2 linked regions of the Rattus norvegicus genome follow. The main gene of each other region encodes a partner of the protein of the gene in region 2 in a complex. Links are inferred from orthologs where the notes say so. Each region holds a gene or a part of one and is shown on either strand. Other genes may lie near its edges. The genes, in order: Tns2 and Dlc1.

The links.
Region 1: the proteins of Dlc1 (region 2) and Tns2 are in contact, whole or in part, in an NMR structure (PDB 2LOZ), measured with the Homo sapiens proteins. The link is inferred for Rattus norvegicus from reciprocal best matches to the Homo sapiens genes DLC1 and TNS2. Residues at the interface, in NP_001335010.1 of Homo sapiens: Glu811, Asp812, His813, Lys814, Pro815, Gly816, Thr817, Phe818, Pro819, Ala821, Leu822, Thr823, Asn824; in NP_736610.2 of Homo sapiens: Asp1268, Leu1269, Leu1270, Arg1271, Gln1272, Gly1273, Ala1274, Ala1275, Cys1276, Lys1317, Ser1319, Ala1320, Gln1321, Thr1324, Leu1387, Asp1388, Pro1389, Asp1390, Gln1391, Val1403, Leu1404, Leu1405, Gly1406.

What each region holds. Positions count from the first base shown.
Region 1 is NC_086025.1:135,115,387-135,119,204, forward strand, and holds part of Tns2 (tensin-2), read left to right. Parts: intron 1-306; coding exon 307-345; intron 346-648; coding exon 649-687; intron 688-850; coding exon 851-900; intron 901-1,116; coding exon 1,117-1,288; intron 1,289-1,577; coding exon 1,578-1,628; intron 1,629-1,923; coding exon 1,924-2,046; intron 2,047-2,132; coding exon 2,133-2,197; intron 2,198-2,591; exon of another isoform or gene 2,592-2,722; intron 2,723-3,296; coding exon 3,297-3,380; intron 3,381-3,769; coding exon 3,770-3,818. UniProt on the Homo sapiens protein: Tyrosine-protein phosphatase which regulates cell motility, proliferation and muscle-response to insulin. Phosphatase activity is mediated by binding to phosphatidylinositol-3,4,5-triphosphate (PtdIns(3,4,5)P3) via the SH2 domain.
Region 2 is NC_086034.1:62,008,352-62,012,169, reverse strand, and holds part of Dlc1 (rho GTPase-activating protein 7), read right to left. Parts: intron 3,199-3,818; 5' UTR 3,074-3,198; coding exon 2,000-3,073; intron 1-1,999. UniProt on the Homo sapiens protein: Functions as a GTPase-activating protein for the small GTPases RHOA, RHOB, RHOC and CDC42, terminating their downstream signaling.

The sequences.
Region 1 (3,818 bases), on a different chromosome or scaffold from region 2:
GGTGGGGTCTCAACGGTGAAAGAGGCTAGTGTCCACCCCTGGCCATTGCCTGGCTGGCTGGCTCTATATATAACTCCTGTCCTGCAGCTGGATGAATGGGGGTCTGTGTGGGCAGGGGGCTGAGAGCCAAGAGCAACAAGCAGGGGGCCTGAGGGGTGGGAGACCGAGAGGCAGAAACAAGGCTCCCTTAAATAGAGGAACCTCAGCTAGAGCTTGTGCTCATCAGGTGACAGGCCCTGCATCTTCCTCCCTGAGGCTGAGCACCCCGTTTCACCAGCTCAGCCTTAAACTCCCACCTCTTTCCAGGTGACTTCATCCTGTCAGGCCTTGCCCCCCGCGGAGCTGGTGAGTGTGCTCAAGGATGGGGCAGGGAAGGCAAGGAACCTGACTAATATCCCGGGGTCTGGTGGTCTCAAAGTGGGTCTCCAGGTTATGTAGTACTGAATGCTGTGGTTTATTGGTCAGTTATCCTCAACAGATGACTGTCGGAGCCCTTCGTTGTGACTGTCTTCTAGGGCTGGTTGGGGACTAGAGTCCTGTCCCCAGGGAGTGGACACTGACATGCGCTCCCACCCCGCCCCCAGGTCCAAACTGGTCCTTGCCCCTGCCCTAACCACTCCCATTTCCTCCCCCACCTCCTCACTCTAGCGGAGAAACACAGCCCCAGTCCGGCGCATAGAACACCTGGTAAGGGATGCTAGGAGCCTGAGCGGGAAGGGGCGGGCGTGTGGGTAGCTCTTGGAGTAGGGACCTACATTTGCAGAAGACCACGGTTTGTAGAACTTTTGACCCGGAAGCTTAGAAGCGATGCATCCAAACAGTTGTCGGCATACGGTTTCTCATCCACCAGGGGTCCACCAAGTCTCTGAACCACTCAAAGCAACGCAGTACTCTACCCAGGTGAGTGAGGACGCCCGGTGATCCCACGTAGGCACTTTCCACTGGACCGCTACTCAGCTTATGGCAGTGGCCGCCAATAAAGCCCCCAGGACAGTACTCCCCCTCCGGGCCACCCACCCTAAGGACCTAATAGGTCGCCCAGAGCTCCCCAGGATCCTTAGCCCCTGGGCCGCCGCGCTTCTCTGTTCTCTAAATCGGCTTTGCGTCCTCTCCCAGGAGCTTCAGCCTGGATCCGCTCATGGAGCGTCGCTGGGACTTGGACCTCACCTATGTAACAGAGCGGATCCTGGCCGCAGCTTTTCCTGCACGACCAGACGAGCAGCGACACCGAGGCCACTTGCGAGAGCTGGCCCATGTGCTTCAATCCAAGCACCGAGACAAGTACCTGGTGAGAAGCGGGTGGGCCAGATCCAACCAATGAGAGGGCTGGGAGATTCAAATGGGGCGAGGCTACTGTTTCCCCATCAATACCTGAGATGGGGCTGGAGAGGGGGCGGTGTTCGCGAGCAGGGGCGGGGCGGGGCGGGGCCGGAGGTTAGCCAGTCACCGCAGGGTGCAGAGAATTCAGCTCCAGCGGATTACAATCTTACTATTTTTAGAGCAAGATGCTCGATGAGGGTTCACCTCCAGCACCTGCATCTCAAGTCACCGTCATCTAACTCTGCCCTTTATTTCAGCTCTTCAACCTTTCAGAGAAACGGCATGACTTGACCCGCCTGAACCCCAAGGTAGGAGGGAAATGGTCTGTTTGCCGTTTATTCCGAGCCAACCTTGTGAAAAGGCTCTGCCTCCTTGTTGACATCCACTTTTCTCACACTACTTAAGATAACTAAAAACGAGGTGCTGGGGTTATCAGCCCACAGTATGGCGGAAAAAAGTGTCCAAGCTACTGTGGACAACTACTAAGTTTGCGCCTTGCCCCCAGGTCCCTGTATTGTATTCACATCTTCCTCCCTTTGTTACACACACACACACACACACACACACACACACACACACACACTTGTACTTGTACTTCCCCAGGTACATGACTTTGGCTGGCCGGAATTACATGCCCCACCTCTGGACAAGTTGTGTTCCATCTGCAAAGCCATGGAGACGTGGCTCAGTGCCGACCCTCAGCATGTGGTCGTGTTATACTGCAAGGTGAGCCAGGACCTTGGGGTAACAGAGCTAGGACAACCTCAGCCTAAAAGTTGCAGGTTCCCCATCTCCATCTCTTTATCTCTTAGGGTAGCAAAGGCAAGCTTGGAGTCATCGTCTCTGCCTATATGCACTATAGCAAGATCTCTGCAGGGTGAGTTGCCCTGCTTCAGTGACCCCTCCTCGTCCGGCCCTGTCTGAGCTTTTTTCTCCTTAGTCAGACTATACACTTGGTACGGTACTGTCTATCTCCAGCTGTGGGCCCAGCACACCACAGCAGAGGAACTGGGCTAGTTTCTTAGGGCCACCAGCTAAGTGCCATAGACTAGCTTAAAATAATATAGCTCAGTTGTCTTACTGTTCTGAGATAGTAAAAGTCCAAAGTCAGTGTCAGTGGGGCCACGCTCTCTCTCTGGGACTCTAGGCGGACTCCTTCCTTGCCTCTTTCCAGCTTCTGGTGGTGCCTGACAGTCCTTGGCAGTTCTTGGCTGGCAGCGGCATCCCTCCACCCCCTGCTTCCGTCATCACGTGGTGTTCTCTTTGCGCGCCTGTTTCTGTCTCTCCTCTTCTAAGGATCAATCACCCTAATTAAGGACCCACCTTGCTCCTGTATGATCTCATCTTAACCTATCTAACCACATCCGCAAAGACCCTATTTCTAAATAAGGTCACATTTGAGGTACATTTCTCTGGGGGAGGGATACAGTTCAACCCATCAGGTTGTCTAACTGCCTCCTTTTAAAAGTGAGGAAAGCCAGGTTCAGTTGCCCAAGGCCCAACAACTGGGCTATGCTGGAGGGTCTCTAGCTCTCTTCACCACCACTGGGAGTTCCTCTGTACAGAGAGGTTCCTCCTTTCCTGGGGTTTAAGAATGGAAGGCAGGGGGTTGGGGATTTAGCTCAGTGGTAGAGCACTTGCCTAGCAAGCACAAGGCCCTGGGTTCGGTCCCCAGCTCCGGAAAAAAAAAAAGAATGGAAGGCAGGCGATCTTCCTAGAAGTGTATGAGTGACAAGCAATAGCATAAAAGTGATATATACATATATATATATATATATATATATATATATATATATACATACACACACATATATATATGTATATATATGCGCTTAGTTTGTAATTGTTCAAGTGATTCATGGGAATACAAGATAAGGCAATTTAAACTTTTTTTAAAAACTTAAAAAAAAAAAAAAAAGAATGGAAGGCAGGAATGGGACCGGTCCTTAACCCCCGACCTCCCCTGCTCTCCCCAGGGCAGACCAAGCGCTGGCAACCCTCACCATGAGGAAATTCTGTGAGGACAAGGCGGCCATGGAACTGCAGCCCTCCCAGCACCGGTGAGCACCCCAGTGGGGAAGGGCTGACTCTCCCTCTCAGGTAGCACACCTGAATCCCACAGTGTACGGGAGCCCAGTGAGCCAGGCCCTGTGCCAAGTTCTGGGAAGTCAGAACAAACAAGGTCAGGCTCCCGTGGTATTTATATGCTAGTAGAGTAGAAGGCAAGAAGCCATGCGTAAACAGACTAGATCGTTCTGGCTGACAGTAAGGTCTGTGACAGGAATAAAGCAGAGGCTTGTAAGACTCCACAGGATGCGCAGGGCTTGCCTCCTTGAAGTTTAGAAGAGCCTTCTAGGTCTCTCAAGAGCTGCCAGGTTGGTGTGAGGCGCCCTCTAGAGGAAGACACTGATGTTTTCTTGGCACTCCCCACCCTCCACCCCCTCGCCAGCTATGTCGGCTATTTCAGCGGGCTGCTGTCAGGCTCCATCAGAATGAAC
Region 2 (3,818 bases):
ATTATTTTGCTACAATTTGAGCTAATTTTCAATTTATAGTTATTTAACATTCATTAGTAACTGATAAAACAAAAGTTATTACCCATTTTAATACTAATTATTTATACTGTAACCACCTTCTCAATAGGCATGCCAAAGGTTGTAATGTCAAAGCAAGTATTTCAACCAATAATCTGGCAACACTTTGGGGTGTTGAAACACTTAAAATAGAAAATTTAAATTAGAATTTGCAAATGAGATATAGCTATGGCTTCCCAAGTGCAGCCGTTAGCAGTACGTTGGAGAGCAGATTCCTTCCTGCATTCTTCATATTGATATCAACGTCCAACCATGAGCATATGTTGCAGGAATGTTTAATGTGTCTGTAGGCAGTTGGGCCAGATTTGTCTTATTTTAGGGAGCTATGTCATAAATCAGTTAATATTTCCTTGTGTCCTTATTGCATTCTTTTCAACAGATTGGATAGGATGTATGGAAATTTCTGGAAATGTGACCCAAGCATTCCAATCATAATAACTTCATGGGGCACTGACATTTGAATACAACATACAGAAGGAAGAAAGTTTTTGCCAGAAGCATAGAATATTCTGTTGGGATTTAGTCTGAGCATGTTGACTTTTGCCGTACACTCTTTGAGTTCATTTTGCGTCGCTGAAATGACTACATTCGGTTTAATGATCTAGTTTGTTAAAATAACCACAGTGTTTGGAAATAAGAAGTAATTGGAAAGGTTCCCCCCCTCAAGCAGTGCATGAATGGCCACCGTGAAATAGAAGTAAGAATAGCTATCTTCTGTTTCACAAAGTTCTCTTCAGAGTTTCTTCCATGGCCACAGAAGAGTGACCAGAGAAGAAACTAGCCAGCCCTTAGAGTAACATCCGTTCATGTAGTACTGTGTCGTCAGAAAATAAATGGAAAGGAAGCCTGAAATCATGAATAAGAGCTCAGTGCTAACCCACAGTCATGTAGGGCCACCCTGTACTTTCTTTCTCTTCCTCAGGGGAATCTGTAGAATAATTCAAAGGGCTTGGTATAAAATAATTATATTATGTACGCCGCCCCTTTCAAGGCAAAGACATAATGGTGCCTCTGCTCATCGTAGATGTACGAGTGTGACATTTAAAGTAATATTAGCACATGCAAAGCGTTGTCTTTCCATATTGAGAGTGTTATTTTGAATTAAGATTTATATTATTCTCAATTACATGTACATGTGTTTATCTGCATGCGGGGCTCGTACACACAAGTGCAGGGGCCCACAGAGGCAGGGGGCATTCGTGGGGTCTCCTGGAGGAAGAATTATAGGCAGCTGTGAACCATTCCACATGGGTGCCGAGAACTGAACTCTGGTCCTTTGGAAGAGAAGTACATGCCCCTAACCTCTGAGCCATCCCGCTAGTCTTAAGTTGATTTTGTTTTTGTTTTAAATATGTGGCTGCCAATGACTAAACATGCTCTTTGAAAGGAACGGAAAACAAGCCCATGCAAGTGAGACAGATTAAATACACTGCTGTTTTTCTTATAAAAATTACATGTCCCTTTTCAGAAGGCCATGAACTACAGGGTGATGCTGTTGGTGAGTATTAAATTCCAAGGAAAGTGAGCCATGTTGAGTGCTATCGTAACACACTTTTTTTTTGTTTTTTTTTTTGTTTTTGTTTTTATTTTTTTCCGGAGCTGGGGACCGAACCCAGGGCCTTGCGCTTCCTAGGTAAGCGCTCTACCACTGAGCTAAATCCCCAGCCCCTGTAACACACTTTTAAAGAGCCACAAACTATCTCAATGTTGGTAGTGAAACTGTAAGATTATTGTATGTCAACTCTCACTTAGTTTCAGGGTTTTATCAAGAGAACGGCCTTTAAATTGTACTTGCTACATGACAGGGTAAAGACAACAAAACATCTGTGCATCCTTTTCAGCCCAAGCACATTCATGAGTTATGAAAAGAAAGATATTTACAACATTTCAAGGAACCAGATGATCTGCGTGTGAGGCTTACCTTTCTCTTGCGCAGTCTGACTTGATTGTCTCCGGTCTCCTGGGTGGTCACTGGGCCCCTTACGTGTAAACACTGCATGACACCTTCCTGACTGACCCTGAGAGGGCTTTTGTTTTGATATTCTGAGAACCCACTCCTCTCCAGGTCATTTTCTGCTGACATTCCACCAGGGCAGGAAGGAGGCCGCAGAAGGCAGCTTCCGCAATCTGCTTTTAATAATGGCAGCCCTCTGTCTGTATAAGGAGCCACTAAGAAGTCTTCTTCTACTACATGGTGCAGATTCTTTTCCTGGTCATCGTTAGGGAAGTCAGGTTTCCTGTGTTGTTGAGCGATTACTGCAGAATCAAGCAGTTGTGTCTCAGGTGTGACATCTTTCACGAGTACCAAAGAATCAAGCAGTTGTGTCTTAGGAGTGATGTCATCTTTCGCATTCAAAGACTGGAATGTATTTACTTTGGCCACCTCATTTGTTTCACTTGCACTTGTACTCTTACAATGCTCCAGGCTTTTACTTATAGTGTCGCCATCTTTCCTTTCTTCACCTCCTTCTGCTGCAGATATCTCAGCTTCACCAGCCATCGTCCAGGTGTTGTGAGAATCTTGGCTACTTTGCATGGTGGACAGTGTCTTCCTGAAGGAGCCTGCTCCTTTGACACTCTCGTGGCTGTCCCTTTCATGTCTTTGTGGAGGTAAAATCTGTGAGTCATTGATAAGGTGCAGATCGGAGTCAGTATCTTCATCAGAAATGTGCACTAGTGTTTCTGTGCTGGCCTCGAGCGATAGAAACCGCTCTTCTCCTTCCTGGCTGTCACTTTCATCCACTTCCGGTGAAATGTGACCCATTGGCCTCCCAGGAGAGTCTCTTGTCTCTGACCCACGACAGCAGTCTGGTAGAGAGGCATGCTTCTCTTTATGGTCCACATTTAAGGTTTCATCTTTCTCCATCCTTACCTCCAGGCTGTCGGATGCCAGTCTGTGGTGACATGCTATGTCATACTCATCAGAATTAAAAGGCTGTTCGCTCTGCTGGGTCACATGCTCTTCCCAGCTCCTCTTTCTGAGAGCTACAGACATGTCATCATAGTTTAACGGCAGACAAGGAGATGCATTCCATAGGACACTCAAAGGGATGGACGTCGGGGAGAGAAGATTCTGAATTCATGGGTCAAGGAAGAGAGTGCAATCTGCCATGTTGTCATCTGTGGAAAAATTGAAAATATGCTGTTATAGATACATTTCCAACATAACTGTATTTCATGGCAAAGAATCTAATCTGTGCTGTGAAGCTGAGGTAAGAAATTTGCTGAATAGCCTAAACGGTTTTATTTCTTAGAGGCAGTCTAATAGTAGAGAAAAATTTGCATTTAGTATTTTTAGTAAAAGTTTATCAGTACTTACAAAACCAATTGGACTGGTTTATTAATGAAGAAAGAAATAAGTACCCAAAATATTTTAAGCTCCGTTAAGAAAATATTTGGATTGCGGTGCTTAATAAAATTCACTGGAAAAACGAACTTGTTGCTCTGGCTCTGTGTGCTTTCCTGATTTACTTTTGTGAACAAAAGCCATTAAGGAAATTGATTTGCTGCTTGGTTTGTATTGAAACAAAGGCCATCAGGGAACCAGTCTTGCAAAACTTGAGCAATGGAGAAGAATGTGAAATGCATTAGTGTGTAAAACAACTCATACCAGACCCAGTGACCAGGATGTCCCTACCCCAAGGAGTGACAAGGAAACAGAGCAATACAGTGTAGTTCATATTAACTCACAATTTATGGATAAGAAAGCATGGTGTATTCCATTATAAGGCTTTAGAACA